4 linked regions of the Arabidopsis thaliana genome follow. The protein of the gene in region 2 purifies or fractionates together with the protein of the main gene of each other region. This does not show direct contact. Each region holds a gene or a part of one and is shown on either strand. Other genes may lie near its edges.

Region 1 (8,499 bases), on a different chromosome or scaffold from region 2:
CCATTGGTGTTAAACTGTTTCCTCAAATGACTAAGAAATGTGTTGCGGACATCTGGTCCATGGAAGCTCGTGAAAGTCATGTATCTCCATGTGCAAGGTGAAGGAGAAGATAAAGAAGAAGATGATGATGAAGAAGAAGAAGAAGTAGATGCAGCCATGAGTGGTTTCAAAATACAGATTCAAAGAGATGTGTCTGTTTAAGCATTTTACGGAACCTTTTATAGAGGAGTGGCAAAGCTTATGGTGAAGGAATGTAATGAGAAGTTTCTTTGCAATTGCAAAGTAAACAAAATTTTGAACTTATTACGAACAAAGTTAGAGAAGAAAAAAGAACAAACGAAAAAAGAAAAGTCAACATTGGTTTACGTGAGTTTGCCTCTTTATGCCAAACGCGTAATGGTCTAATGGAATAAGACAGGAAAATTATAATTTTGTTTTGGTTAACGAAAGACCTCATTAATACGTCAAATAAATAACGGAACTATGGAGTAACTGAAATAATGACGGAGCGAATTGAATTAGTTAAAGTTTTTATGAAATAAAATGCTGAAAACTAGTTTTAAGTATATACTTTTTGCAAACGTAAAAATATGTAAATCAAACTTGATGAATATCTCAAATAGCAGAGAGTAATGGAATCATATTTTTCATACGTGAATAGATGGTGTACCAATCATCCCTTAGACTATATACATTGGTTTGGTTTTTCAACACTTTTTTTTATTTTTTTTCATACTCCATGTCATAAATTTCTCGACCACCTACTAATTTAATATTTATTTAATTTTTAACATTTCCAATAGTTTGTTTAATAAATACAAAACTATTTATAGAGAAAAAAAATATGATGAATTTTGATATAAAAATATATATAAATAAAAATTTTAGTATACTTGATGTTAAATAGTTAGGGTGAGATTAAAAATTTTAATATCCAATCAGAAATGAATATGTGTCATTTATGATCCCATATTTTTGGTTTCAACATGTTGAAAATATTTAACAGAAGTAAATCCACATAAGTTTTTTTTTCTTTTTCAACATCTTTATTGTAATGGTTCAACTGTTGAATTTCTTATTTATTGAACACCTCTATTGTACATGATTTTAGGTAGAAAAATGAAATTTCCAAAAAATAAAATAACGTTAATCTTTTCCGCGGTCACACAAAAAAAAGTCTTCGTGCGGAGTACATAGCTCTTTCTCAAATCTTCTAGAACCATCTTCAAATTCTTCACCCTCTCTCTTTCAATCATCTACATCACTCCATCACTCCATCACCAACATAAACTAAAACTTCACTCACATTAAAAAAAAATCAAAACCTTTCAAAAAAACCAAAAACTCAACAATGTTCGGAGTCGTCTTCCCCAATCGAAGTTTCCCAATAGACATCTCAACCTTCACTCAAATCGACACATTCCACTGGGTTCTCGACATGAACCACTTCGTCGGTAAGTACCCATCTCCCCAAAAACCAAACTTTTCAAAACCCTAATTCCCAAAATCAAAAACCCTAATCGAAAAATCCAACCTTTTTTCTTTTTTTACAGGTGAAGCTTATGATCAAATCTCAGAGATGTGTATCTTCTTGTTAAACAATTTCAATCTTCCACCAGATAAAGCTTTAGCTGTTTATGTTCAATCTCCAGGATCAGCTTTTGTGTTCTGTGGTGCTGTAACTTTAGCTAGACCTTCTGCTGTTTTATCACTTCAATGGCCTGAACCTGGTAGTGCAGCGAAGATGCAACTCACGGCGGGTGATTCGAGTTCCTTATCGGCGAAGATCGGTGTTTCGGTGGAGGATGTAGCAGCGTTGAGGTCGTTGGATGTTGTTGCGGAGAGGAGGATTGAGAAATTGGCTATGAAAGTTGGAGAGAATTTGTTTAACTTTATGCAGTCTTTTTGTGGTGTTGATGGAAGTAAATTGGTTGTTCCTATGGATATTTTGGATCGTTGGTTTAAGAAGTTTCAGGAGAAAGCTAAACGTGATCCTGATTTCCTCAAAAGCTTTGCTTTGTAAGGTTAGCGTTTTTGTAACATTTGATCTTGTGGTTCTATGTGATGAATTGAACAAGAGATTGTAGTTTTACTTTGTTTGTCAATGTTTATTAACTAGTTGATCATACTCTGCTTTTAAGCAATTTAAAGTGTTGAACTTTATATCTTGTTGGTTTGAGGTAGATGAAAAGGTGAAGATTTAATCTGTCTTGTGTTGAGGAATGAATTTTGATTCTTAGTTTTTGATTAGCTCACTTTGGTATACTGTGTGGTTGAATCCATTTGATCTTGGGTTATATATGATGAATTGGAGGAGAGATTGTAGTTTTACTTAGTTTGCTAGTGAGATAATATGAGGGTTATGAATATTTTGGTTTCAGTGTTCTTCTTGCTTACATATGAATCACAGTTTTAGTAGGTGGAATGGTGGATACTGTTTCGTATCTATTGTTCATAAGTTTATACTCTGCTGTTAGAAATTTAAAGTGATGAACTTTCTCTTGTTGTTTTGAGGATTGAGGTAGATGAAAGGGTTAAGATTAAATCTGTTCATGTTTTTATGATGAATCTAAGACAACATTTTAGTTTACTTAGTTTGCCAATGAGAAAATGTGAGAGATATGCATAATTGCTTTCCATGTTCATATTTTTTTCTTCGGTTAATTTAGTGCAATTCAACAGAGGAAGGTTTGACATTTTTTGGTCTAGTAATATATGATTCAGTATTTGGTCAGAGGATAGTTTAACAGTTTCAGTGTTCTAACTCACATTATAAATCATAGTTTTGGTAAGTGGATGCTGTTTCAGATTCTGGTCATGTTCATAGGCTCAATCAACCTTTGATCTTAGCAATATAAAGTGTTGAGCTTTATATCTTGTTGAATCGAGGTAGATGAAAAGTGAAGATTTAATCCATCTTGTGTTGAGGAATGAATCTTGATTCCTAGTTTTTGAGAAGCTTCAGTTTCTTACAGTGTGTACTGTGTGGTTTTACCCGTTTGATCTTAGGTTCTATATGATAAATGGAAGAAGAGATTGTAGTTTATTATAATTTAATCTTATGTTCTATATTTGTTTTCAACGGTTAATTCAATATTTTGTGAGAACTATATGAGTAGTTGCAAAATATGAATCACATATACATTGAGTGGATACTGTTTCAGATTTGGTCATGGTCATAAGCTCAAATGTAGCTCTTAAGTAATTTAAAGTGATGAACTTTATTTTTGTTGCTTAGAGGTGGATGAAAGGTGATGATTTAACTCAGCTTGTGTGTGAGGAATGAATCTTGAATCTTGAATCTTGATTCTTGTCCACTATATCACAGTAGATCGTTAATACATTGATCTAATCGATTGAAGTTGTTGTTTGATATGGTTCTAGATTGGCTTACCAACGGCTTCAATATTCAATGGACCTAAACAATTTGTAGAGTCAAGAAGCTTACAAATATTCGGGATAATCTGACTTGGATGGACAACTCTAGTTGTCTGATACATACGATGAATCAAAATCAAAGCCTTTAACTTAAACTTCAATCTCGAATACATAAGTATTTTCTACAATCGATTGCACACATGTGAGAATACCCTTCAACCCTCATTTGCAAAAAGTACTTAATACTTGGTCAGCAAATTCAAATCATTGTGCAAAAACTCCAAAAAAAAATGATTAAAAACGGAATAAAAAAATGGAGAGTGTAAGATGGAAAAAGTTACATGTTGGGGCCACGGTGATCGGTTCGACCGTATCAGTCTAACCGAAATTGACCAAACAACTTTGGTCTATACTTTGATCGGTTCGACATGTTGGGGCCACGGTGGAAAGGCTTTATAAAAAGGCATAAAATCTAACGAAAAACAAAAGGAAACACACAAAAGCCCTAAATCTCTTTTTAACCTCTGAAGCAAAAACCACCACATCGGAGATTTCTAATCCAACGAAAACGCTTCAATTTTCTTGCGATTTCTCTTCCTCTGCGAAAAACCCTTTTGGATTCAGACTTTCCTCGGTATGTTTTCTTATCAAAGGGTTTTCCTTTCTCAGTTAAATTCGCTTCTAGATCTTAATTTTCGATTGATTCTCTGGTGGGTTTCTATAGAATTGCTCCAAATTATGATTTTGATTTGATTTGATTTCTTAATGTTGGGTTCTCGAATTCATGGTTAATGATTCAAACTTTATCATCAAAACTTCTCTGTGTGTAGTGTAGATTACTATGACCAATTCGTTACTTTTTCTCTGCTCTTTGTTTGCATGATGATGTTCAAGTTGAATCCTTTTTTTATTGAAACAAGGACTTCTTAAGGTTTTAACCATTTTGATTGATTTCGATTGAGGAATTCATATCGATGTTGCAAATCCATAGGATTGGATTACCAAAATCAGAAGGAAATTATTAGTTATGTGTTTAAGATTCTTGTGTTTTGGGGACTGTTTTTGTTTGGTATCTCTCTAAGAGTTCATGGAACTTGTGTTCAGGTTTAGATAGCTGACATGCCTGTAATAGTTTTAATTGATATAAGATATCTTGTCTTTTGTAAGCATTAGATTTAGCTGTTTTTCCTGGGTGTGAAATATTAGGCCTATGTGTTTTTGTTAGCTGTGAAACCTTGATTTGTAAAGTAATAGTATCAGTATTCTCTGTCTATGATGTGAAGTTAGCAAGCTTACTACAAGTAGTTTAAGCATATTTACACATGGGGATCAGTGTATTTGATTATGTGGATTGAATGATTGATCAGTAATGTAGTTTGATCAAATAAGCGTGTTTCTGATGCTTACGCGTATGTTTGGCAGGTTTACCAGTTGGACTCAGATAGAAGCTTATATCTGTACCTGATAATTTGCAGCAAATATGGATGACTGGGGTAAGACTATGCTTTAAGTGTCCTCTCTTATATTCTCTATTTGTATCTAATTATAGTCTTCTTATTTATTTATAGTATTTGATTGGATATGCAAGCAATTTTGGATTATTTGCTAATCTGATGGGTTTCATATTTGATATTTCAAAATCGTATCACTAGCATGTGAGTAGTCTTATAATTTTTATTTTCTGATTCCAGAGGACGAGAAAATTGCACCACTTCCAGCAAAAGTTGAGCTTAAAAGTAACTGGGATGATGAAGATGTGGATGAGAATGAAATTAAGGATTCATGGGAGGATGATGATGATGAACCTGCTCAGGTATAGCTTAGTTTTTACTCTCTGTAATTCTTTCCCTATTGGCTAGTGGCTACTACGTATAATTTGGTTTGAGATTCCAACGGGAATATTTATGTTTTGTCTGCTTTGCCTTGTTGTTTTTCTGTAGCCGCCTGTTATAAATCCTGCTCCGGAGAAGGCTCCTAAGAAAGCAGCCCCCAAAACTGTTGAAAAGAAGGGTAAAGCAGTCGAAGTTCCAAAGGAAGCACCAAAAGAAAAACCTCTAGATCCTATAGCGGAGAAACTTCGCCAGCAGAGGTACAGTTTGTAAATAATATCTTTCCCACACATAATAATTCACTTTAATCTTTTGTACTTTGTGTATGGAAGAAGGCTGTGAAGGTCTATGTGACCTTATATGTTATATTCTTTCTATCACAGGCTTGTTGAGGAAGCCGACTACCGGGCAACTGCTGAGCTCTTTGGAGTGAAGGATGATGACAAAAACCTTGATATGTTTATCCCCAAGTCTGAAAGCGATTTTTTGGAATATGCTGAAATGATTTCTCATAGGATTAAACCATATGAGGTATGTTGTATTCTGCCTTATATACCTTTATTCTCATTGGCTAGTATTGAAGCTCATGATGTGTGAAAATATAGTTTGGTTTCTGTTGCAGAAAAGTTATCACTATATAGCGCTGCTCAAAACAATCATGAGACTTTCATTGACCAACATGAAAGCAGCTGATGTTAAAGATGTTGCTTCGTCCATTACAACGATAGCAAATGAAAAACTAAAGGCAGAGAAAGAAGCTGCTGCGGGAAAAAAGAAAGGTATTATTCTGAATGTGTTACTCACAATCACTTCATCTTTGGTTTATAGTTTTATGAATGTGTTATTCTGAATCCGTTTTTCATGACCATTGGCATTGCTTGATCAGGTGGAAAGAAGAAACAACTTATTGTAGATAAGGCCAATGACGATCTAGTGGCTGGTCCTTATGATGCCATGGATGACTTCGACTTCATGTAGATTAAAAGAGCTTTTTGAGCAAATGCAAATTGGATTTGTCCAGCGTCTATTTTATCATTTATCTATCACTCAAAAGAAACACATTTTTCTTAATTTTGGTTTGAATAGAGCAAGAAGAGCCAAATTTCTGGTTGCGGAAATATATAGTTGGAACATGGGAAGCTTTTGTTTTGGTTTGGTCTGGGAATTCTCTAGAGTCATGTTTTTGGTTCTATTTGTTGGTTGAAAAAGCTATACTTAAAGTGTCCGTATAAATTTATTATTGACATTGATCTGATTAAATCTCTTTGGGGGTTGAATTTCTTATAGACATGAGTGCGTTTCATGTTGTCCAATCTTTAAATACTGCCTCTTGAGTAAGAGAGAAAATGTTGATTCGTTACAATTCGCTAATGTTAGTAGTAAACCTTGAAACACGCTAATATCATCATGACTTTACATTAGCTAATAACATAAAGATGTGAATGGGAATGACATAAAGAATTCATGGGAGGATGATGATGAGTTTTTAACTAAGGAACTCTAATTCCTTACTAGTTAATTTCCAACAACAACACAGTGACTGTATTGTTTAATCTTCTTAATTGGTGGTTGAGTTGCTTCTTCTTCTTCTTCGGACTCTGTGTTGTTTCCTCCGGAAGACATTGTGTCAACAACTTCAGCCTCTTCCACATTCTCTTTTAGGAGAAAGATTAGTGGGATTGATTAAAGAAAGTAATCATATGAATTGATTGATATAATTCTCTGTAATGTAGACTCTTAAATATGTTACAATATCTACTCTCTAAGATATTCTTTTTATAAGAATCTTTTAAAACTTCAAGAAGATTCATTTAATGATTTCCAGTAATGGTGAAGAAAAATATCCAACTAAAAACAAAAAAAAGCAGAAAAATATCCTATCCTATCATTATCCTAATTTTAGAAAAAAATAAATAAAAAAAAAAGTTTAACAAACCTAATTTAATCGTGCGTAGATATATCTAAAGCAGTGATATACTTTTCTTCTTCAACCGTTTTATAGACTCTATTGATCTCCCGGAACTTTCTGTTACCTTCCCATGGATAATCAGAAGTCGCCGAAGCAACCAACCTCCCAAGACTTCACCAAAGCCGCCTTCAAGCTTCTTGCGAATCCCCACGTTGAACCGACGGTGGAATTCATCGCCGCCCTCACAAAGCCACCGGAGAATCCAGAAGATAAAGACATCAAGTTCTTCCGTTTCTGCGTCGCCAATTACCCGGGATGCTTCTCCCTCAAGCTCATGCGTGTCTATTCCTCGAATGATCCACGAGTCCCATACCAGATCAGAGAGATTGCGATGATATTACTCCACGTTATCTTCATCATAGAAGAAGCCTCTTTGAATTTGGCAGTGGTTCACATACTTTCGCCTATACTCATATCATGCCTTGAAGAACAAGTTATCTCGAACAACAGTTTAAAGATTCTTTCCATGCTCGTGAACCGTGTCGCTTTCGAGATATTCACCATTCAGGAAGAAACGTGGTATGACCTGCGTGAGTTTATCTCGTCTAAAGCGGAATCAGAGTTTGCGAAAGCGGTTTCCGTGTTCAAGAGCTTGTCGATGCCTTTGGATGGAGAGGAGTTTTTGATTCCTCTCATGGATAATCTTCTTCCAGCGATCTTAAAACGTTTAGGTAACAAAGAGGAAGAGAGTTCGAGCCAGTGGGGTTTGGCCTTTGTGGGTGGTTTCTGTGCGGCGGTTCACTTGTTGGAGACGACACGTGTTGATTTGGTGGAGAATCTTGCGAATGAGATGTTGAAATCGGTGAAGAGAGGAATGGAATTAGGGTTTCTTGGGAAAGCTCTTAGGGAAGTTGAAACCGCTGTAGTGGAACAATTATGGTGGTATTGTACTACAGAATTCAGATTCGTATTGGGTTTGATTAGTAGGATTGATGCGATTGTCACTGAGGAGACAGCGAAGAATGTGTTGCAAAGGATTAAGATAGTTGTGAAGAAGAAGATGCTTGAATATGTTTAAGAGATTGGTAAATGGTGACGAAGATTGGCTTAATGAGAGCCATTGAATTTGGATGCTTCTTGCCCAAGTAAACAAATTCTTAGGGAATGTTTTGGTTTTGAATTGTGTAGTTTGGGTGTTTATACTTTATATTTTGGTGTTACGTACGAGTGGATTAAATCAAACAGAGTTTTTGGATTTATAGTTTTTTGCATCTTTGGTCATTTACTGGAAAAACTTTAAGCTTTAAATTTTTTACTTTGAGATAATATATCATTATTTCTTTGTGTTCATGGGTAATTTCACCATTGACTAGTTACTTTTTG
Region 2 (8,099 bases):
ACTTTCATATATTGATGGTTTACATAAAAAGAAGATATCAATGATATCCATATATCTATTACTAACCATATATGTGGATGTGATATATTCTTTTATATATGCACTAAATTTCTTTTTCCTCAAAAGATGACTTATTTTAGTTATTTGAATTCAAAGTTAAGGAATGAGGAAGGAAAATAGAAAATAAGCAGACAATCTACATTTTTTTTTTTTTTTTTTTGTCGTCAATCTACAAACTTCTTTGCATACTTTTCATATATATATATTTTTTTTAAAACGTAATAGTATAGGATGTATATTAAATGATATGAATAGTGGAATGATTCAGTAACCAAAACAATATAGCTAAAGAAAGTGTATTTATTAACATATATAAAAAGTTGGTTTTAGGGTAAGACTAATGCCTCGAATTTACTAGTTGTAACATTTTATTCTTTTTAAAGAGAATATGTGTCTCGAATTTACTAGGCGGGTGTAATTGGTTGTAGAAAAACGTTATTGTTAAAGATGGCTTTGATCAGTGCAAAGTGCAAACAAGTGACGTACGTAAAATAGATGTAAACAATACCAATTAAAACATAAGTAGTTATTTGAAAAGAAAACTCTTAACATAAAGAAGATTATAGACCACTAATTTGTATTTCAAACTATATAATCATTTGTCCTTTGTTATAATCTACTTGTCTAATGTCTAATATGTAATGGAAGAAATGGTCTGTCTTCACTCGAACCGTTTCCAACTGATAGTATTAATTAAATTCAATATCCAATGTACCGATAAATTAACAGAAACATCCATGAAAGTCTTGGTCACAAAAAATATATTTCATGCACTTAAAAGAGATTTGGTGAAGAAATCTCAAAACAGTCTTATTACAATCAAAATTTATCTATCGTATATAATAAATAAACAAAAAAATCGGTGAGATTAGAATATTGAACTGGAAAAGAAAAAAGAAAAACCAAAGTCAAAGGAAACGACAGCTTCCAAGTAAAACACTATTAGAAGATTAAGTGAGACCAAACTCCAACCTTCCTCACATATTTTGGATAAGCTTCGCATCTATATTCCTCCTACTTCCATGTGCCATTCCTTTTTCAATTCATAACACGGCACCGTCTAAATGCTTATCCACACTACAATAAAAAATAGTCATTTTTATTATATACGCGTTTCAAATACTGATAACACGATACAGTACTAATTTAGGGGACACTATATTTGTGAAAACTGCGGACTATACACTTTTCTAGTATCCAAATTTAATTTTGAGCAATAATTTTATCGTAACGTATATTTGTCTTATAATGCTCCTACTTGCAAGTATTATCCTAATTGTTTGACCTTATAGATAGAGCTTTTATAACTTTTGTAGGGAAACATCAAACATGTATTAAAATCTCTAGTGTTGCGAATTTAAGTTTATGCTTTCTTGAGTTTCTTTAATTGCCCGTCATTACGCTACTAAAATTTCACAATTTTGTCCGTTTTATACATAAATATACATAAACAAATACGTGATTTTTCTCTCTTTTTCTATTCAATTCATTATAGAAAATAAATGACGTTTTTCATATTTGCAACTAAAACATTGTTTTCTTTCAGTTTTATGTGGTACATGACACCTGTTATGTTTTACGATTGTTGATATATATTCAAAACACCATGTGCATGATTAGTTGAACTTGTAGCTGTAGATCGACAACTATCAAAATTATTATATATTTGCTTCGATCAAAAACTATCTACAGCTTGTAAATATTGCTCATAAGTGACAACCCATAACGCATGACTGACTTTCAAAAATGTATTTGCAGAAAATTTTATATTCTTATCGATCAACCCCTAAATGTTATACTACATCGCATATATCATCAAATAAAACATTTCTATATATGTATTAACATGTTATGAACATGACTGTGTGTTTTAACTTTAACTTTTATTAAAAGATAATATCTTACCAAAAACGAGAAAATATTCGATATTTCCTTAGAAATCAGATTACTGAACATTCGACTAATCATCAGGCATTTACCTTTCATAGAAAACAGTTCAAAAAGCAATATAAAGCCAAAAAACGAAAAAAAGATTATCCTGAAATTAATCCACAGTACTGGTTTTTTTTTTTTTTAAAAAGGAGACCGCGTTTCTACGCTGACTTTCAAATCAGTCGCGTCGGTATTATTCCACACGCCTTTTTTCTCGTCCCCATCCTCTATCCACATTTCTCTCTATATATACTCTCCTCGTATCCTAAACTCATCCTCAAATTCAAAATTTAACACACAAACACAAACACACACACCAAAAAAAACACAGACCTTAAAAAAATAAAAATGGTTGATATGGATTGGAAGAGGAAGATGGTATCATCAGATTTACCAAACTCACCTAAGCTTTCTTCAAAGCTTCACGTAACTATTCCATCACCGTTCAAAATCGTCCCTGTTTCATCTCCGATCTCATGTTCAGCACCTGCTCTTTGCTCTGCTTACGAGCTTTACCTTCGTCTCCCTGAGCTAAGAAAGCTCTGGTCATCTCGTGATTTTCCTCAATGGACATCAGAGCCGATTCTCAAACCAGCTCTTCAAGCTTTGGAGATCAGTTTCAGATTAGTTTTCGCCGTTTGTTCTGATACTAGACCGTACATCAACCACCGTGAATGGAACCGGAGGCTAGATTCTCTCATCACGAAGCAGATCCAGCTTGTAGCAGCGATCTGCGAAGATGAAGAAGAAGAAGGTATATCAGCGGAGGCTCCGGTCGGCGGTGGACGGAGTTCGTTGAGTTTGTTACCGCAGCTAGCTACGTGGAGGAGATCAGAGGCTTTGGGGAAGAAGATCTTATATACGATCGATAACGAGATGAGTCGGTGTAAGTACACGCTCGGACTCGGTGAACAAAACATCGCCGGAAAACCAAATCTCCGGTACGATGCGATTTGCCGACCAAACGAGATCTATAGCCTCAAGGATAATCCATACGCAGATCATATCGATAATCACGAGAATCAAACTCTCTATATCATTCACCAGATCCTCGAATCGTGGATCTACGCATCTGGAAATCTTCTGAATCGAATCGTCTCAAGTATCGAAGAAGAGAAATTCGGAAAAGCTTCAAACGATGTTTACTTGCTGGAGAAGATCTGGAAAATTTTAGCGGAGATTGAAGATCTTCATATGTTGATGGATCCGGAAGATTTTTTGAAATTGAAGAAACAGTTACAGATCAAATCGACGGGTAAAAACGATGCGTTTTGTTTCAGATCTAAAGGATTAGTGGAGATGATGAAGATGTCGAAAGATCTGAGACAGAAAGTACCGGCGGTCTTGGCGGTTGAGGTAGATCCAACCGGAGGACCAAGATTACAAGAGGCGGCGATGAAGCTTTACGCGAGGAAGACAGAGTGCGATAAGATTCATTTGCTTCAGGGGATGCAAGCGGTGGAAGCGGCGGCGAAGAGTTTCTTCTTTGGGTATAGGCAGTTAGTGGCGGCTATGATGGGAAGTGCGGAGATGAACGCGACGGCGAGTCAAGAGTCGTGTGACTCACTGAGTCAGATATTTATGGAGCCGACGTATTTCCCGAGCCTTGACGCGGCAAAGACGTTTCTGGGAGAGTTTTGGAGTCATTTGGGATGATTAAATTTTAATTTCTGCTGGTATAATTATTTAATATAAATTTAAATTGGTGGTTTGGTTTAATTTAGTTTGTAAGATAGTGAAATTTTTGGAACATTTGACGATCCATATTTGAATACAAATTCATTTTTATATGATTTATGAGATTTTTTAACAAACGATAACATTTACGAATATCGTAATCCATACTTTGAATTATCCACAAGTCGTAATTCAAATATGGGTGGTCTACTAACGAGTAACGACTAATCTATATGCTCTGACTAATCGTCAACAAATCACCACCTATCCTTCGTAGATGTTAGTGTATGAGAAAAACACAATTTCACACCTATCCTTTGTAGATGTTAAATTATGAGAAAAACACAATTTCACTTTCACAGTGTATAATATTCAAAATTCAATGATAAACACACACACAAAAACGTTATAAAAAACCCAAACCGACGATGAGTAACCAAACCGATGTATAAAACGACATTGCCTTTCTCTGTTTTTTGTGTTCAACAAATTTCATTAAGAGAAAGAAGGGAAGTGTTTGAATGAGTATTCATTCATTAGTCCAAGAAAAACATTTAATGGGCCTGTTTGTAGGCCCACTGGCACATAACCTATCTTCTGTATCATTGATGCCTTCTCCTACCTTCCTCTGACGCTCACATCGGAAACCCTAAATCTCCACTCTCTCGCGCCTTTTACCCCTTCTCAGAATCTTAACCATGGCGGCGACGAGCGAGCACACCATCTTGCAATTTGTGTCTCCGTCATCAACGGCGTCCGCTACAACCTCTGTACTCACGGCGAGGATCCACCCTCTCGTTATCTTTAACGTCTGTGATTGCTTCGTGAGACGTCCTGACTCAGCTGAACGAGTCATCGGAACTCTCCTCGGATCTATCTTACCTGACGGAACCGTCGATATCCGCAATTCATACGCCGTCCCTCACAATGAATCATCCGATCAGGTTCGAAATTTTGATCTCTAAATTTCTCCTCTCTCTCGATTCTCTATCGTTGGAGATCCTAGATCTTTCGTAGCTGAAGATTTGCTTGTTAGGATGTGAATGTTTATAGGAGTAGTGTTAGCTTCATACCCCAAGGTTGTGACTTGTGATAAGTTTTGAGGGTTATGGTTTGATATGGATGCAGGTTGCTGTGGATATTGATTACCACCACAATATGTTAGCTTCACACCTTAAGGTGAATTCAAAGGAAACTATTGTCGGCTGGTACTTCTCGTTTCCCACTCTTATTCTCTTATACTCTCATGATTAGTCTCATATCTTTGTCACATGATTCTTGTAGCTGTGTTGGAACACTGCATTAGGTAGTTTCTCATTTTGGAATAGTTGATTGAACAAGTTTATTGATTTGCAGGTATTCAACTGGTGCTGGGGTTAATGGCGGTAGTTCGCTGATTCATGATTTCTATGCTAGAGAAGTACCCAACCCAATTCACCTAACTGTGGATACTGGGTTTACTAATGGTGAGGGTACTATCAAAGCTTTTGTCTCTTCAAACCTCTCACTCGGTGATCGACAACTCGTTGCACATTTTCAAGAGATTCCTGTTGATCTCCGCATGGTTGATGCTGAGAGAGTCGGATGTGAGTATTCTATCCTTTTATTAGTAACCAATTCTATATTCAAAATACATAACAGTCCTCATTCCTCAATTGTCTAAGTAGTTCAGTTTCTGCATGGTTGATTCAGTATCTAGAGATTGTTTCCCTAATGATTGTGAATGAACCAACGGGAATAGATGATCTTTGGTTGTGTCTGTTCAGTAGATTAATGATTGTGACTGATTTAAAAACATCATTTTGATCCACAGTCGATGTACTTAAGGCAACATCTGTTGACAAACTCCCAAATGACTTGGAAGGAATGGAGTTAACAATGGAGAGGCTGTTAACTCTAATCAACGATGTCTACAAATATGTTGACAGTGTCGTGGTAAGCTTATGATATCCTTGACTGTCTATTATCGACCATAGATACATGATCTTTGATACAGAGTTTTAATGAAATTTCCCAGGGAGGTCAAATAGCTCCAGACAACAACATTGGACGATTCATTGCAGATGCAGTAGCCTCCCTTCCCAAGTTACCTCCACAAGTCTTCGATAACCTCGTGAATGATAGTCTCCAGGTAAAAGATTGTAAATTTCAAGCCAAAGCAAAACACTTTGTAAAAAACTAATGGTTGTTTCTTCTGTTATTTCAGGACCAATTGCTTCTGTTGTACCTATCAAGCATAACAAGGACACAGTTGAGTCTAGCGGAGAAGCTAAACACAGCTGCTCAAATGCTATAATAAGCTTGGAAACACAAGGTTTTGCTAAAAATGGGGAATGCTGCTTTTTTGGTTTCGAATTTTCTTTTAACAAGTTTATGTAAGAATCAGCTTCTTGTTGTAGTGTTCCTAAATTGCAAGTTTAAGAAAGACAAAATGCTCTGTTTCGTGAATTAAGGTCTTTAAAAGGGATTTTTAGTTGGTGTGCCTAATTTTAAACAATATACATATAAATGAGCTTTGTTCTTTTTTTATTTGCCACTTGTTGCGCCTAATCTTTATCACTGGAGATATTTATGCTCAGAATTTTGGATCATGGTCTCTCTCTATTAGCTATGTTACATTGAAAGAGTATAGAAGCCTAGAATTACTGCTTTCTCTTTTGCCGTATTGCGATTGGCCTATGTAGGATCTTACAAAACAGGCTTAATAGACACTATTGGAAACTAACTTCTAAATTGTAAACAATTTGCGATTTGCGGTTGCATATAATAATGCTAACTTTGGCATATAATAGACACTATTGGAAGTTAATATCTAAATATTACACAACATTTGCGATTGAAATCATTCAGCAATTTTTTCATTTCCTGCTTTCACTACACAACTAACACAATCAATTTTTTTACCCGTTTTTTTGTCTTTCTGATAAGCTAAATTAGAGCTACGGTTTATGTATCGGAATACATTAAACTGATTTCGCTGAATCCGAACGAGTATTTGAAGTTTTTGTGGTTAAAAACTTGATTATTTTAGTTTGTGTTGTAAAAACATGAGGGGAGTTTTTGTGGAATGGATTTTGATAGCAAATGTATACGCCTGTTTCTCTGTCAACATACGTACTACATACGATGTTATACAGACATATACGACCGTACCAGTACATGTACATATCAAACTTGAGAAGAATATGTGTAGGCCGGTGTGTAGATGGGTCAACATTAAAGACGTGCATGCACTTGTGATGTAAGTGAACAACTTGCATACATTGTTCACAGTAATCTAACTTATCATTCCACTTCACCCACCTTCACTCTATGGTTATTGGTCTCCATAGCCTTTGCCTTTTCTCTTTATTTATACATTGACGTAGTATCATACGTATTAGTGCTAACCGATAAATTAATATTCGAATCATTTTCATAGTAGTTGTGGGTTACATTTATTTAAAACCTGAAAATTTACGATAATTTGCAATAATTCTCATGATTTTATGAGACGGACTAAACATAACACGGAGAAAACACATACTCGACGACTAGCTACAACTATATTTATGAATTAGGGATGGGCACTCGACTTTTCAATACGATCGACATCATATTTTAGACCAAAATAATTCTTAAAACGCTCTTTGATAATATGTGTAACCAAAAGAGCCACCCATTCATATATGGTCCCGTGATATATTATCACATGATCTCTATTCAAACTATGACATGCATGGTCCCGGCTGTTTTAAACCTAACGATTCGGACAAGTTATTTTCATGCTACATGGATTAGTAATTGTAAGTAGTTTAAATACAAGCTAGATTGTTGAGACGTCTCCATATTGTTTCGTGCAGGTGCAAAAGACAAAACAAACGACAGGCATACGGAGAGACGTACATACGTAAAAGTCTGTCTAATATAGACTTTGTCTTGTCTATAAATATAATACAAAAACTGAAATATATAGTTGAAAAAAGAATTATTAATTATGTTATTGAAAATATATCATTACTTTTATCTTAGGTATAGCTTTTTAAAATTTTATTTAATCATTTAATTGTTTATACGTGACTCAGCTGGCATTAGTTTTTCTTTATAATCCCTCATATAGTAGTAGTGGTGGTTATGCTTATATTTTTTTAATCATGGGCATTTATTAGAATAATACACTTATATGTAAATATAATGTCAGCTGTCCTGAACATATTTTTTGGTAAAAAAAAATACTAGCTAGTTACTTGAGGGTTGGATTCTTTCTTTTTGTCACCAATTTAGGTTTGGGTTCAATGCACTTATATGACAATGGGTTTCAATATAGAAAATTCTTGTGTCTTAATTATCAAGAATGACAATACTGATTTTAATCACCCGTGAACCTAAAAGATGCAGAGTGCATGGCAGGTCAGTACCTGATACATTACTTAATTTTATAGTGCAACAAT
Region 3 (7,476 bases), 1.5 Mb from region 2:
ATATTATCGTTTTTAGTGGGACAGTTGGTCCAATATTTATTTCTCTTTCGTTTTATGCTTTTAATAGTCAGAAGAAATGCCAACTTAAATTTATATAATTAGGGAATTTTGTATTTTACATGATACATAAAGGATACATAAGTGGTCTTATTATTATTATTATTATTTATTTTAAAAAGGGCTAGGTGTTGTTTAGTATGATTTAAACAAAAAAGTGATATAGTATTAAATATCGTACTATATTAAAAATGCTATTTGTTAAAAATACAAGACAGCTTATTATTTTTAAAAACACATAAAATAATATATTAAGATTTTTTTTTTTTCATTCATTATCTTTCAGGTAAACCGATATAATTTATTTGTTTAACAGCCTAAAAATGTAATAATTAAAATATCTAATGGATATATTCATAAGTACTTTTCGTTGGGTGTTTAATTAAGAGGGACATGATAATTTTCGCAAGCAGTTTAGTTTCAGCCGTTCTGGTATTAACCAATTGACAGCTTACCAAAATCCACTACTCATTTTTTATTTTTTTTTCAATCCAAAATACTTATTTATCCAAATTCAATGAATCGCATGTATAACATCTATTGATTACGTCTTTTCTACTTTTTTTTACAAAGGAGAAATGGTTTTATTCGTCAACTACTAGCTAAACTCCCAATGGAAATGACATTACTATTCTACAATTATAATGGCTCAAGTAGACATAATTACAACAAAACTTCACCTCCCGCTTTAAACAAAAACAAAACTTAATTAACGTCAATAAAAAGATGATGCAGACTTTTAAATTGTTAGAACAAAGTTTAACAACTATATATAACTGATCAGTTATATAAATAGCATATACACCATAGTGATATCTTCCCGATCTTAAAAGATATTCAAATTATCTTGTGGATATGTACTTGATTCGATATCTTTGATTTTTTGTATTCATGATCTTATGGTTAGGATCGATGCCACCAGTTCCTATGTAAACAAATAGATAATATGTAGGTAAATAACATTGCTTATACCAATCTAAATGTCAGTTAAGAATATATTGATACATATGTTTATAATGCCTTACAGATTTATAGAAAACCCATATTTGATTATAGTGATATATATAAGAACGTATACAGAGAGCGCAATCTCTTATCCAAATCAGAAAAAGATTTCAATTCGTAGCCAAAACCAAGAAAGATATAAGATATAGGTGAACTATAGGAGGGTGTTTTTTTTACTCGTAATTCCTTGGATTCTATTGGTTAATCCATCATCCATAGTGTGTGTATATTTAATTTTTAGAAAATTAGAAAGAAAAAAATTGTAGAAAGGGAAAGCTATATAGAAATGGCAACCCATGCATGATTGCCTTGAACATCGCAAACCCTCCCTTAGATTGCATGTCTAGTGGAACATAGTGGACCTGCAACAATATTCAACAAAAAATTCATATTATATACATTGCATAATGCATAGTAGGACATAATAAGATGAATTATTATGCTCAATAACAAGTTTATATGATATGCCCACAGTTTCATCACATATACTTGAGTTTATTAAAACGAATGATTCTATTTCTCTATTAAGATTAGCCTTTATTAATTGTTAGTGGTATGAGATATATTGAAGAAAATAAGTATAAGCAAAAAAAATGTTGATAGAAGAATTAAATAAGCAATAATTTCAAAAGGTATGTAATGTGGATGAAACGGCACATGTCGTTGTCACGTGGCTCGTTCCCATCGATTCAATGCATATCTCGACCAACTTGACTTATTAATATTCCTCGTACAACTCTCCAATCTAAAGCCACCTTTCTTCTACGTTATACATTTTCTTTTTCTGTTTTCTTTTAAATACTTTCTCCTCACAAATTATTGTTTTCTATTATCTAAAATCAATACCGTTAGGAAATGGTGTCTTTATAACACTTTAGAAAAATATAATTAATCATTTTCTAATGTATTATTTTTGTAATTGAGTAATTTGATTTAAAAATATAAACTAATATAATAATATTGGTATTTAATCATTTCAAATATTCTTAATTATATTCTTTTTGAATACACGCATATTGTTCTAAACTATTAATTTCTTACAAAAATTCTATATTATTTATTGTGTCTACAAACAAAAGAGTCGTCTAATCATTTTTGGTTTCATTTTTTTTTTGCTAGAAATCAAAAACAAATTCCTCATTTTTTTTGAGGTAAGCTAATGTTATTTTCTAATAACAATCATAAGTAATACCCGTGGTTTAAAGTTTACACGGTATTAATTAGGTACTACAGCCATGGTGGACGGTGGATCTTCATCACCTAATCCGTACAATTAAGAGACAATTAATTACATTAAATCATGTGCATTAGTTGATTTAGGAACTAATTGATAAATCAACTCTAAAGACTAAAGTAGTGCGATAGATAAAGCTAAAGTATATATTTTCTTCAGTATAAAGATAGGAATATATGGGGACATATACTTTTGTCGATTTTGTATCCAGCTTTGCATCAGTGAAGTCTGAGCGAAGATATGACCAGACTTAAAAAGCAACTAAAAAGATGCATAACAGAAACACAAAAATAAAATTCATGCATCTGCTAGTCATAGAGGTTATTGGATTCATTGCACGTATCTTAATGATTCGTTTTCGTTTCACCTCCCTTGCTACAAAAGATTTGAAAGAGAAAATGTTAAATTCTTTAGGTCAGAATCAATTAAGATAATTTCATTTTCTTCTTGTGTTTTGTACGTCACTTGTTTCTTTTTTCGTTGGTTATGTACCAAAACATGAAAAGTTCAAAAATTGTTAATTAGAAGATTAAAGAGAAGAGTAAGAATAAAGATGAAATGAGGAATTGATATGGAGGAGTAGGACCCAAGTTTGCAAGGATGGTGGCTGGCTGGCTGCTCTGTTGTTTGTTACATCTCATTCTCAATCTTAATTCCAATTCTATGTGCTTCTTTCACTATTTCCCTATAGAATACCATTCTTGTTTTTTTTTTTCAATTTTCAAAAACCACTATAAGGAACTTTTTCAATAGTTGCTTGTTTGTTTAGACCAAGGAAGATGTCAAATAGATTTCTTCACTTTTCAAGTGGAAGCAAAATTATGCGGTCAAGTGTATTATACTAGTGTGTGTTTTTTTTTGGTTTAATACCGACTAATTTCTAACTCTAATCTATCAGTGAACGTCTTAAAACTAATATTGCTGAAGAATATATTGTTCTCTGCTACAGCCTACAGCATTCAAAGTTTCATCAAAAAGATAAAATGTATATATAACTAAAAGTTTTGGGTTAATAGATAATAGTCAAAGAAGACATTCGTGTTGAATGTTTCTTTTTTTTTTTTTTTTTTATCGTGGGGATTGATTCAATGCATTGTTCCAACCTTTTGACTCTTTCTCGTGTTTCCTTTTTTATTCGTTTTCTGAATTATACTTTTTAGACCCTTTCCTCGAATTTTTACTTGAGCCCTACTCTAGTAATACATAAGCATATATATAAAAATCTCTCAAATTTGATTAGGACAGTTTTAGTATATAAAAAAAGGAAAAAACGCATTGTTTAAAACGTGGTCATGACGAAAACGTTTGATTTCGATCGATGATATTTAAATAAAGGAAACACCTAACCATATTTATTCTTAACTGATCAAAGATCCTCCAATTTCACGAAGCCTAAAACTCTCAAAAACAGATTCAATAACGTCACCAAACCTTGAGGCTTTTTAAAGGAAGAAGCATTTGAGAAAATCGTAACTTCTTGACCCTATGCATTCTGCTGTGTACAAGGTATGGTTAGTGCTTGTAATATACAATTATATAATCTCTTTGTTTTAATAAGTGGTTGCTCATTAAGATGAATGTTACTTGTCTAGTGAATGAGTATGACGTTGTTGTGGTTATCAGGTTGGTCTTCATTATCTTTCTTGGGATATTTCTGGTGGCAATGCCAGATGTATTGCGATGCTCCAAGCATTCCAAGAGGTTGTTAAAGATTACTCGACGCCGCCTGAGAATACCCTTAATAGAGACATGACTGCTCAAATAAGTAGCTACGTCTCTTTCCTCATAGAATGCCGTCCGCTTTCGATTAGCATGGGAAACGCAATCCGATTTGTGAAAAACAGGATTGCAAAGCTGCCTATAACACTTTCTGAATCTGAAGCAAAAGCTTCTCTTCACTCAGATATTGAACGTTTCATTAACGAGAAAATCATAGGTGCAGATACAGTGATAGTCGAACATGCTGTCACTAAAATAAGAGACGGTGATGTCCTTCTGACCTACGGATCTTCCACTGTCATTGAGATGATATTAGTGCATGCACATGAACTCGGGAAAAAGTTTCGTGTCTTTGTGGTGGATTCTCGACCAAAGCTTCAAGGGAAGCTACTGCTTCGTAGATTGATCAAACGAGGCATTAACTGTACATACACTCATATAACTGCCATATCATATATCATGCACCAAGTCACCAAAGTGTTTTTGGGCGCCTCATCAGTTTTTTCTAACGGAACAGTTTACTCAAGGGTTGGCACTGCTTGTGTTGCAATGGTGGCTAATGCTTTCCGTGTTCCTGTGCTTGTTTGTTGCGAAGCCTATAAGTTCCATGAGAAGGTGCAGTTGGATTATTCAATATGCTCCAATGAGCTCGGTGATCCAAATGCTATTTCAAAAGTTCATGGAAGAGAAGACATAAACTACTTAAATGGCTTGACCAACAATGCAAAGCTGAAGTTTCTGAACTTGATGTAAGCTAGCTTGTGTTAATCGTACAAGTGAAACTATATATGTTCTGTTAATACTATTCTTCTCTGCCTGCCACTAAACCCGTTTGTGATTTTTTTTCTAATGATAGGTATGATGCTACACCTTCAGATTACATTTCCATGATAATCACAGATTATGGCATGGTAAGATTAATCATATCGGCTCTTAATTAAAAACATAGCATTATGGTGATCAAGTGATCTCATCCCTAAACATAACTCATGCAACACAGTTTCTCCACTCATTCAGAATCTCAAACCATTGAACACTGACCATGTTTTATATTTCAGGTACCTCCCACAAGTGTGCCTGTCATCGTAAGAGAATATCAGAAAGAACACTTGCTTCAAAGCTCAAAGATTGTTATTTAGATGCTCAAAATAGAAGTAAGAATAAAAATGAAATGATATGGAGGAGTAGGACCCAAGATTATAAGGCATGGTTGCTGTTCTGTTGTTTGTTACATCTAATTCTCATTCCTTATTCCAATTCTGTGGGCTTCTTTCACTATTTTCCCTATAGAATACCATTCTCGTTTTTTGTTTCAATTTTCAAAAACCACTATAAGGAACTTTTTCAATAGTTGGTTGTTTGTTTAGACCAAGGAAGATGTCAAATTGATTTCTTCACTTTTTTGATTAATGTTTTGGGGTAATTAATTAGTCAAAGAAGACATTTGTGCTGAATGTTTTTTTTTGCTGAATGTTTTTTTTTTATCGTGGGGATTGATTCAATGCATCATATTGTTCCAACCTTTTGACTCTTTCTCTTGTTTCCTTTTCTTTTCTTTTTAGACCCTTTTCTCTAGTATAAGCATATAAATCTCTCAAATTTGATTTCGACGATTTTAATATATATATAAAAAAAAGAAATTCGCATTGTTTTAAACGTTGTTATGATGAAAACGTTTGAATTCGATTTTTTTTTTTTAATAAAAGTAAACACGTAACCATATTTATTCTCAACTGATCAAAGATCTTCTAGTTTCATGAAGCCTAAAAAACTCTCAAAAAACAGATTCAATAACGTAACCAAATAACATTGGAGGCTTTTTAAAAGAAAGAAACGTTTGAAGAAAATCGAAACTTGTTCACCCATATCACATTTTGGCTGCTGCTTCTGCCAAACGCTTCTTCTTCTTCTTGACACTAGCTGATTTGTAACCGCCTTTACACGGTTTTCCCCACGGACTAACCGATGTCCTTCCTCTGCTTCCACTACTTTTGCTTTTTCCTTCACCTCCACCGTGTGGATGATCACACGGATTCATCGCCACTCCTCTAACTTTGGGCCTTATCCCTAACCACCTACTCTGTCCTGCTTTATATAGCTTCTTCGTTCCATGAGACGGGTTCGACACTGTGCCAATCGTAGCACGACATTTGGCATTGATCCACTTGGTGTCCCCTGACGGAAGCTTTATCAAGCATTTCCCTTTAGCAGGCTCCTTTAGGATCTTGGCGTTGGTTCCTGCAGCTCGGACCATCTTTGCGCCTTGCCCTGGGTTCATCTCGATGTTGTGGATGATTGTTCCGATACGCATCATACCTAGTGGCATGGAACTTCCTATCATTGAGTTGATGTCCATGTGGAGCATCTCTTCTTTCATTTGTGCTACCAATGATTTGTTCTGTGTATCAGCAAAACCTGCAAAACACCAACAGAGATAGAGGCTTTCTATCAAAAAATAAAACGCACACAAAACAGAAGATATGGATTTTGACAAAAAATAAAAAGCTTGATTGAAACTTTGGATCTCCAAATCCCTCAGGTTAAGTCACTTTTGAGATGTATATACTCCACACAGATCAATCTTAATTATAGACTAGACAGACTCAAGTCCCACAAAGTAGCTACATGCATCAATCAATGATACTCCACAGAGCTCAATCTTAATTATAGGAAAAGAATATAATCCAGCTAGCAAGAGACTTAGGAGAAGAATTAGATACAAATAGCACCATAGTTGCAGAGATCCCAGCTTAGGCCCTAGTTATAAACTTATTCTAGTTACATAGTATCTTAACTTGAAGTAGCATAGTTTTCAGCTCAATCTTTAATCCAAGACTAATTTATGAAGAAGAGCCGATGTGATACAAGCTCATTCTTTTATCATCTAACAAAAAGAAGCAACCGCACTTTCACACTAGCTCATCATCTAATCCAGAAGTAAGTAAGTTCGTTCATCCAGTTCCTAATCCATCTAGAAGAGGTTTGTAGCTTGATAAAACCCACAACATAGGAAAAAAAATCAACTTGACCACTTAAATAGAAGAGGCTAACATAACAATAGACGTTACTCAATGTTTTGTTGTTTGTAACAATACTCTGCCTAAGGAAAATGGCTTTAACTATTATTATAAAACTCACAGTGCAACCATGTTCCTACACCATTTCACAACCCATATATCACCTCTTCAACAAATTCATTCAAGGTTCAAAGCAAAGAGTGAGAAAACTTGAAAAGTCTGTCAAAAGCATACATCTAGAATAAAGAGTAATACCACCTACCTGTAGAGAAATTGCGAAATGCTGGACGAATAACGCTGTTGAATAAAGAAGACGAAGCAGAAGCTCGAGCTCTGCATAACGCCACAAGACCTGACATGGAGGGACTGCTGCTCTAAACAGTATAAAGGTAGGGTTTTTAAGCACTACAGCTCCAACAACCTATCCAAATAAACACAAATAAT
Region 4 (8,083 bases), on a different chromosome or scaffold from region 2:
AAGTCAGTGACTTCTGTCAAATTCTTCTGAACTTGCATAAAGAATTTAAGCATGCCAGCTGACACGATGTTCATCACAGGGACTCACTGGTCTCCTTCAATCACCAATAAGAGGAGCTGAGAAACATGGTCTTCCAGGCGTTATCTCAGGTATTTAAGCGAGAACCACCGCTCAAGTCATCTATAGACATTCAAGACATTTGATGTTCGTGTACACGCTGTCCTTTTGTTTCTGGCTTTCTAATTTTATGCATGTTAACTGGGTGCCTATATATGGTTCAGGAGTGGCCATGGGGATTACTGGACTTGTGGCCAGACCAACCGCTAGTATCCTTGAGGTAACTGGAAAAACCGCACAGAGTATAAGAAACCGAAGCAGGATTCATAACATAAGATCCCAAAGGCATAGGCTTCGTCTTCCGAGGCCTCTGAGTAGAGAACAACCTCTCAGGCCTTACTCATGGGAAGAAGCGGTCGGGACAGCAGTACTTATGGAGGTTGGAGATTCCCTGAAGTTCAAGGGCGAGAAGCTGGTGAAGTGCAAAGCCCTGAAACAAGAAGGAGCTTTCGTTGTAATCACAGGGAGACTGGTATTGGTTCTAAGCAGCCTGAGCTTGGTAGATTTCAGAAAACAGGGATTTCTCGGAGTTCCAATAGATTTGGTATGGAATATCGAAAGAGAAATCGGTTTGGAGAGTGTAATACATACAGATTGCAGCGGTGGAGTAGTCCGCATCATAGGAAGCAATTCAGATGGTGTATGGAACTGGAGACAGGACCAGCAAAAGAAGAGCAGCCCGACCAAAAAACGATGGAACAATCCTTCAGCACAGCCGCTTCTTCAGACTAACTTAGAGTTTCCATCGGAGGAAGAAGCAGAGGACTTGTTGAGTGTGTTGTTATCGACTATTGAAACTGGGAAAAGCCGGAGCTGGCACAGTCGATTTGTTTTAAGTCGAAGTAACATCACTTAAACCGGAGACTTGCGTACATAAGAATACAGTAATTCTTTAATTTTCTTTGTGTACAAAAGTGGCTTTATGAAACTAGTTTTAGAATATATGGTCTGACATGTTTTGGCTATAAAATTTTTTTTAAAAAAAAAGCGTAATAAATCGAAGTGTATTGTACATGGATTGTCAGGCATCATCATGATGCTCATATATGTGGCATCATCATGGTGATGCTGTTTTTCATGCGGGAGAAATGTTTTTACCAACATCAAATCGTATTGCTGCGGAGTTGAGAGGGATATTATGGGTACTACACAGTCTATGTGATCTACACTTCTATAATATTGAGATTTGGTCCGACTATGGTGCTCCTATGGAAGCCATTAGTGACCCATTAGATTGGCCACGTATTTATCTTATCTTGATAGGATTCATTGGTTTCTCCCGAATTTTGATAAGATCGTATTTAAGGTTTCATCGCACGAGATATAGCCACAAGCGTAATGAGAGAAGGTCGATGCAGATCATATTTAGCTCGTGGAAGTCCGATGTGGTTACACTCGCATTGAAGAAGACAAGCGGCGTTGATTTTATTGTTCTTTATTAAGTTAAGATCTTCTATAAGTGTATGAGGAAAACAAGTTTAGACGGGAAAAACAAAAAATCGAAGTGTATTGAGTAAACTTCAATGAAACCTGTAAAGAAAAAATTAAATTAAATTGAAGATTAAATAAGACTTTAATTTTGATTGCAAATCTTTTTATCGAATTCTAGATTTAGTTGTAAACATAGTAAACCCTTATTACACCAAATACTATAGTCATTTTGTTTGAGATAATTCATTTGGAATTCTCTTTAAAAGTTTAGTGATCGGAGGCTTCTCGATTTTCTCTCTCTTCTCTCACTTGAATTTTTCAGAGAAAGAAAAAGCGATTCATGGCAAGACTCCGTCCAACATCGTTCGGCTTCTTTAACGACGATGGTTGGTTCGTTTCCAGCATCAATTGGCTTCTTTAGTGGTGGTGGCTGGCTTTTGTATCCGGACGTGGTCCGGCTTTGCCGTCTTATCTCGCCGTCTGGTTTCTACTTTTCTCTTTAGTGGAATCCGGCTTTAGTTTCCAGTTCTTTGATACCGGTTTTACCTTTCTGCTTTTCAATAATCATTGTGATCTTAGTACCAATTTTTTTTTGGGTTTTCCTTATCATCCTCTTTTCTCAAGCTTTTTTGCATCCTTATTTAGATGAAAGTCAATCTTTGTTTCATTTCTAATCTTTACCTTTTGGGTTTTAATCAACTATTAGAGTTTGTTTCAACCTAAATCGATTCTCTCAATCCTTTGATTTAGAATCTCAATTCGGCATATCTGGTAAGATTTAATCATCAAGAGAAATCATGGTTTTTTATTTCTCTTTTGTCATAGATCGTTGCTGTTCTGGAGAAATTTAGATCAAATATAAACTCTGGATATTGTGGAGCAGAGAGTCAGATTTACAAGCGTGATGAGATTGTCGTAGAGGAAATGGTGGGTTATCGGATTTGATGGTGGTGCTGGGAGATAACGATGAAACAATCATCGGCGTAAGAGAAAAGTCACATCCACGTGTCGTATGTTGCTTTGACTTGTTTTATTAGCGCTGTACTCTTTACTACAAGGTGTTTAGTTGTACCCTTTATGGATTTGTGAAATACTTTGATGACTGGGCTTTAGTGATGTTTGTAAACCCATAATTTGAATAAAAAAGAAACTTATGAACAAGAAAAAAAAAAGTTCAGTGATCCAACGGATCCACAATTAATTTCCGTAAATGGAATATATTTTGCGACAAAGGAAAGGGCTAAAACAATTGTTATTGGGCCTTTTTTTTTGGGTTAATCAGACTAGCCTTCGCAAATTCGCGCTTTACGCGTTTCGCGTCTGAAGACACTACCGGAGTTTTTGTTCGGCGATTGTAGTTAGTGGTGGTGGATCCGGGCATTTCATTTGATAACCGCGGTGGATCTAATTGATCTGGATCTGACCATAGCCCTGCTTGCTTTTTCTGGAAATTTTTAGTGTGTAGCTCTGGAGAGTTTCTCGTGAGTCGAATCGTCTATGCGGATGCAGTTGTGCTCAGATTTTTGAGTTGTCTAATTGATCTTGAAGAACTGTGAGAGAGAGAGAGAGAGATCGAAATGTTGCGGGCGAGAGCATTTCGGCAGACCAATGGTAAGATTGTGAAGATACAGGTACATCCTACGCATCCATGGCTTGTTACGGCTGATGATTCAGATCACGTCTCCGTCTGGAATTGGGAGCATCGTCAGGTCTGTATCGAGATTCTGATTTGATTTTGGTTCCGGTTCTGATTTCGAATCGTGGATCTGTCAACGTTTATGTCTATTGTGTTAGGTAATTTATGAATTGAAAGCCGGCGGAGTTGACGAGCGCCGTTTAGTTGGTGCCAAGTTAGAGAAGCTCGCCGAAGGAGAATCCGGTGAGCCATTGTTCTATTCTGGTGAAATGAGTATGAGTTTCTGATGCTTTATGTTCTTACTGACATTCGTATTTTCCTCAGACTATAAAGCTAAGCCTACTGAAGCCATTCGAGGAGGAAGGTAGTAGATAGATCTTTCTCGCTGCTAATTCAGTTGCTCCTTTCGATAATGAGAAAAATGACTTATCTGCTCAATGTTTGCACCTACTAGCGTTAAGCAGGTGAAGTTTTATGACGATGATGTGCGTTATTGGCAACTGTGGCGCAACCGCTCCGCAGCTGCTGAATCTCCATCAGCTGTCAATCATCTGACATCTGCTTTCACTTCCCCTGCTCCATCGACTAAAGGCCGTCATTTTCTGGTCATTTGTTGTGAGAATAAAGCTATTTTCTTGGATTTGGTGACAATGCGTGGTCGTGATGTGCCAAAGCAAGAGCTTGATAACAAGTCACTTCTCTGGTAAGTTCATTGCTTTTTCTCTAATTTTAGGATATGGGTTTGCTTGACACCTGGACCCCGGGGAAGATGCTCCATTACTTTAGGCTTCCTATCTTTAAATCACTTGAATCCTGGAAAGACCTCCGTTAGTTACTACGCTGGAAATATTTGAGTCAAATGTAGACTAGGCATAAGTGTAATGGATATGTGTGTTCTAAGTGTAATGGATACCAGGCTTCCTTGATGTTTAATGTTCAGTCAATGGCCAAACTCCCTTTCTACATTTTTAATTTCTACTCCTCCTTAATGTTGCTAGAATTCTTCCTTTCTTTGCAGCATGGAGTTTCTTTCGAGATCATCTGGTGGTGATGGCCCTTTAGTTGCATTTGGTTCAACTGATGGTGTCATTCGGGTTTTATCAATGATAACATGGAAGGTTTGTTTGTTTCAAAATTATATTTTTTTTTTTTGGTTTCTCTGCTGGGTTTAGAGTGAGGGATTTTGATACTGATCTGTGTTAATTTCCTTGAATGTTTACTTCCTTGCAGCTTGCACGTCGATATACAGGTGGCCATAAAGGATCCATTTATTGCTTGATGAATTTCATGGCATCATCTGGCGAAGTAACTACATATTCCCTATATATGCCCTCTTTATTGCTCTGAATTTATTTCGAGTTATTTACTTAATATGTTAATAGTTAATACCATCTGATAGATGAAAGTGTCATGTAACTTAGAAAAACATACTCAAGATCACCTACTAAGATCGACTGTATATATTATATGAAAACGAGGTCTTGAGCATATCGTCTTGGAAGTTTCCTACATATATCTCTTTCTTCTTAGCGACGTAAAAATCTCACATTCTACTAAGTGGGAGTCCAGACCGCAGCAGGCCTTACTATACGGATACCTGTTTTACAATCCAAATATCTAGCCTTAGTTTCTTAGATCATCTGTACTCGGGTTAAATTTCATGCATAGCCTAGGCATTAGGAGCGGCGGGAATTTTAAACATTGGCATCTCTTTTCCCAATTGCTTGTTTAGGTTATGTTAATAGCGAATTTCTGATAGTACTGGGCTTTCTTCCCTTTTATATAACTTGACGTTTTTTAATGAATGCTTATCAAGTATTTTCTCTCTGTTATTTATGTGCAATACATGATACTAGCCATCCTCTATCTAAATGCAATTGCAGGCACTCCTTGTTTCAGGTGGCAGTGATGGCTTACTTGTACTGTGGAGTGCCGATCATGGCGCTGACTCAAGGGAACTTGTACCCAAGCTTAGCTTAAAGGTACTCAATTATGCCCACTCTTTCATTCAAAGTTCAAGAGAGGATATTACCATGACCGTTCAATTCTTAGGCCTGGAAAGATTTGCCAGATTTGGTTACAGCTGAGGCTAAGGCACCATTGTTCTTAGTTCCAGTGAACCTTCTGAATTGATTTCTGTGTCTGTTTCTGAATGTTGGATACTTGCATTTAGATATTCTTTCATTCTTTTTATAAAAGGCTGAGTAATGATTAGGGGACTATGACATGCTCGTGCTTTTTTTTTTTTTTTGGTGTAATAGACATGGTCATGTTTGCTTAATTGAGTGGATAATTTCCACTTCTCTGTTATACTTTTTTTTTTTTTTTTTCCTAATCCCTTCTTGGCTTCTTCTAATGTTTTTGTTCTGATTGTATTAGGCACATGATGGTGGGGTGGTGGCTGTTGAGCTGTCAAGGGTAAGTGGGAGTGCTCCACAATTGATTACAATTGGGGCTGACAAGACATTGGCCATATGGGATACAATGACATTTAAGGTAATGGTGTATCTCATGTATGGATTTTTCATATTTTCCCGATCTCATTTATTAACATGCATATCTACTTTTATTCTACAGGAGCTACGTAGAATTAAACCTGTCCCGAAACTAGCTTGCCACAGTGTTGCATCTTGGTGTCACCCTCGAGCGCCAAACCTTGATATTTTGACTTGCGTTAAAGATTCACACATATGGTATCTTTGTTTAAGATTTGGTATTGTATATGGTAGAATATATTTATGTATATTAGATGAGTGGTCTAATTGTTTGAATTTTTGCAGGTCTATTGAGCATCCAACTTATTCGGCCCTGACAAGGCCGTTATGTGAACTTTCTTCCTTGGTTCCGCCTCAAGTACTTGCAACCCACAGAAAACTTAGGGTAATTAGCTCATTGTTGATGAAATCCTCGAAATCTACCACGTATCATATCATTTCTTTCTGCCTGCTAGTTGTATACTATATCAATAGCTCATGCTCAAGCCTGAGCATGAGCATTGCTCTCTGAGGCTCCATTCTATGTGTCCCACAAAACATTAGTTTCTCTTCTTATCTCGTAAAATGCATCTATTATGGTTCAAATGATGAAGTTGTGTAGCTGTATAATATTGCACTTGGCAATGCAAAGGTATTCTGACTCAAGTAGACTAGGAATAAGAATAAGAATAGAATACAACTGTTTGTATTACTTCTTGCAGAAAAGTTTTGTATATAGCAGACTTTAAATTGATAGCTGTTTGAACACTAAATTTATCTAAAAGAAAATTGCAATGGAGAAGATACGTAATCTTTATGTCAGATGGTGATAGGGAAAGCACATGCTGCACCCGAAAGTTGAAAGTTATTCCTTTTTCAGAATTTGCAGATAATATTCGGGGTTCATTTTCTACTTGAAACCGCCAGTTGATGATTTTCAAAGATTGCTAGTTTCTTTATTGCATAATTATAATAGCATTGCTTCTGTACTTCTTTCGCTTTCATGGCTTCCATACATTGGTAGTAACCCTCATCAGGTACTTATTAATTTCCATTTTTTAGGTCTATTGTATGGTTGCACATCCTCTACAACCACATCTCGTCGCAACTGGTACCAATGTTGGTATTATAGTTAGTGAATTTGATCCTCGTGCTATCCCGTCTGCAGCTCCTCTACCAGCACTGCCTGGAAGTCGGGAGAATTCAGCTATATATATCCTTGGAAGAGAATTAAAGCTCTTGAACTTTCAACTATCCAACACAGCCAACCCATCCCTTGGCAATAATAGTGCCTTGTCCGAATCAGGGCTTTCTAAGGGAGACCCAGGTGAACAGTTAACTGTAAAGCAAACCAAAAAGCAGATCGTGGCACCAGTTCCACATGATTCATACTCAGTTCTTTCTGTGAGCAGTTCAGGGAAGTAAGTTCCTTAGCTAATTGTTTTTTATGAATATAATTTTCTTCTTAACTCAGCTAATTTGTTGAGTTTTTTTTTTTTTAGCCAGCTAACTTTATTCTCTGATTGTAGGTATGTGGCAGTTGTATGGCCGGATATTCTATACTTCTCTATCTACAAGGTTAGTGACTGGTCCATTGTTGACTCTGGAAGTGCAAGACTGTTGGCGTGGGATACATGTCGAGACAGATTTGCGATTCTAGAATCTGTGTTACCTCATAGAATGCCTATAATCCCTAAGGGTGGTTCATCGAGAAAGGCAAAAGAAGCCGCTGCAGCTGCAGCTCAAGCTGCTGCTGCTGCCAGTGCAGCTTCATCGGCTAGTGTCCAAGTTCGTATTCTCTTGGATGATGGTACCTCAAACATACTCATGAGATCCGTAGGAGGTCGCTCTGAACCGGTATGTGTCTGTTTTTTTCATTTATACCAGATCATCTGCATGTATTCTAGAGCAGATCCATTGAATATTTAATCTAATCATGCTCCTAAGAATTTGTGTGCTTTGGTTTGCATTGAAAATACTGTAAAATTAGTACAAAAAAATGTCATACTTGGAACACAGTAGTTTATTAATTGAATTTGACTAAAAGGAAAGGTTGCTAAACGTGAGAATCTTACTTGAGAGTTCTTCTTGACTTCAAGTGGTGGGTTATCTTTGTTACTTTGAAAAATTGATCATAGAGCAGTATGCAATGCTGGACGTCTAGGTTAAGCAACATTCGTATGCTTCATAATTTTCCTTTCAGGTCATTGGTCTGCATGGTGGTGCTCTACTTGGTATAGGTTATCGCACATCCCGAAGGATTAGTCCTGTTGCTGCAACAGCTATTTCAACCATTCAGTCGATGCCACTCTCGGGATTTGGAAACAGCAATGTTTCTTCGTTTTCTAGCTATGATGATGGGTTTTCTTCGCAGAAGTCTGCTGAGTCTGCACCCCTAAACTACCAGCTCTACAGGTAAAACTAG

Evidence for each region.
Region 1: the proteins of EIF2 (region 2) and AT1G66070 fractionate together in Arabidopsis thaliana (co-fractionation; one large-scale study listed by BioGRID). This does not show direct contact.
Region 3: the proteins of EIF2 (region 2) and AT2G44070 fractionate together in Arabidopsis thaliana (co-fractionation; one large-scale study listed by BioGRID). This does not show direct contact.
Region 4: the proteins of EIF2 (region 2) and AT5G24710 fractionate together in Arabidopsis thaliana (co-fractionation; one large-scale study listed by BioGRID). This does not show direct contact.

The regions. Positions count from the first base shown.
Region 1 is NC_003070.9:24,593,880-24,602,378, reverse strand, and holds AT1G66070 (Translation initiation factor eIF3 subunit), read left to right. Parts: upstream 1-3,747; 5' UTR 3,748-4,012; intron 4,013-4,800; 5' UTR 4,801-4,858; coding exon 4,859-4,871; intron 4,872-5,069; coding exon 5,070-5,191; intron 5,192-5,318; coding exon 5,319-5,467; intron 5,468-5,590; coding exon 5,591-5,738; intron 5,739-5,829; coding exon 5,830-5,986; intron 5,987-6,093; coding exon 6,094-6,185; 3' UTR 6,186-6,570; downstream 6,571-8,499. Other genes in the region: AT1G66090 (Disease resistance protein (TIR-NBS class)), read right to left, coding at 1-158; AT1G66080 (hikeshi-like protein), read left to right, coding at 1,352-1,454, 1,554-2,023; AT1G66060 (hypothetical protein (DUF577)), read left to right, coding at 7,247-8,194.
Region 2 is NC_003071.7:16,696,198-16,704,296, reverse strand, and holds EIF2 (eukaryotic translation initiation factor 2), read left to right. Parts: upstream 1-3,987; 5' UTR 3,988-4,367; coding exon 4,368-4,613; intron 4,614-4,797; coding exon 4,798-4,877; intron 4,878-5,025; coding exon 5,026-5,255; intron 5,256-5,482; coding exon 5,483-5,604; intron 5,605-5,686; coding exon 5,687-5,800; intron 5,801-5,875; coding exon 5,876-5,965; 3' UTR 5,966-6,256; downstream 6,257-8,099. Other genes in the region: HSPRO2 (ortholog of sugar beet HS1 PRO-1 2), read left to right, coding at 2,341-3,648.
Region 3 is NC_003071.7:18,228,775-18,236,250, reverse strand, and holds AT2G44070 (NagB/RpiA/CoA transferase-like superfamily protein), read left to right. Parts: upstream 1-3,620; 5' UTR 3,621-3,781; coding exon 3,782-3,802; intron 3,803-3,919; coding exon 3,920-4,764; intron 4,765-4,843; exon of another isoform or gene 4,844-4,861; intron 4,862-4,871; coding exon 4,872-4,926; intron 4,927-5,073; coding exon 5,074-5,154; 3' UTR 5,155-5,386; downstream 5,387-7,476. Other genes in the region: AT2G44065 (Ribosomal protein L2 family), read right to left, coding at 5,883-6,430, 7,295-7,391.
Region 4 is NC_003076.8:8,462,963-8,471,045, reverse strand, and holds the start of AT5G24710 (Transducin/WD40 repeat-like superfamily protein), read left to right. Parts: upstream 1-2,872; 5' UTR 2,873-3,125; coding exon 3,126-3,257; intron 3,258-3,342; coding exon 3,343-3,427; intron 3,428-3,508; coding exon 3,509-3,548; intron 3,549-3,638; coding exon 3,639-3,887; intron 3,888-4,202; coding exon 4,203-4,302; intron 4,303-4,414; coding exon 4,415-4,489; intron 4,490-5,067; coding exon 5,068-5,166; intron 5,167-5,563; coding exon 5,564-5,680; intron 5,681-5,761; coding exon 5,762-5,877; intron 5,878-5,964; coding exon 5,965-6,064; intron 6,065-6,720; coding exon 6,721-7,079; intron 7,080-7,187; coding exon 7,188-7,515; intron 7,516-7,861; coding exon 7,862-8,073; intron 8,074-8,083. Other genes in the region: AT5G24740 (vacuolar protein sorting-associated protein, putative (DUF1162)), read left to right, coding at 80-149, 282-973.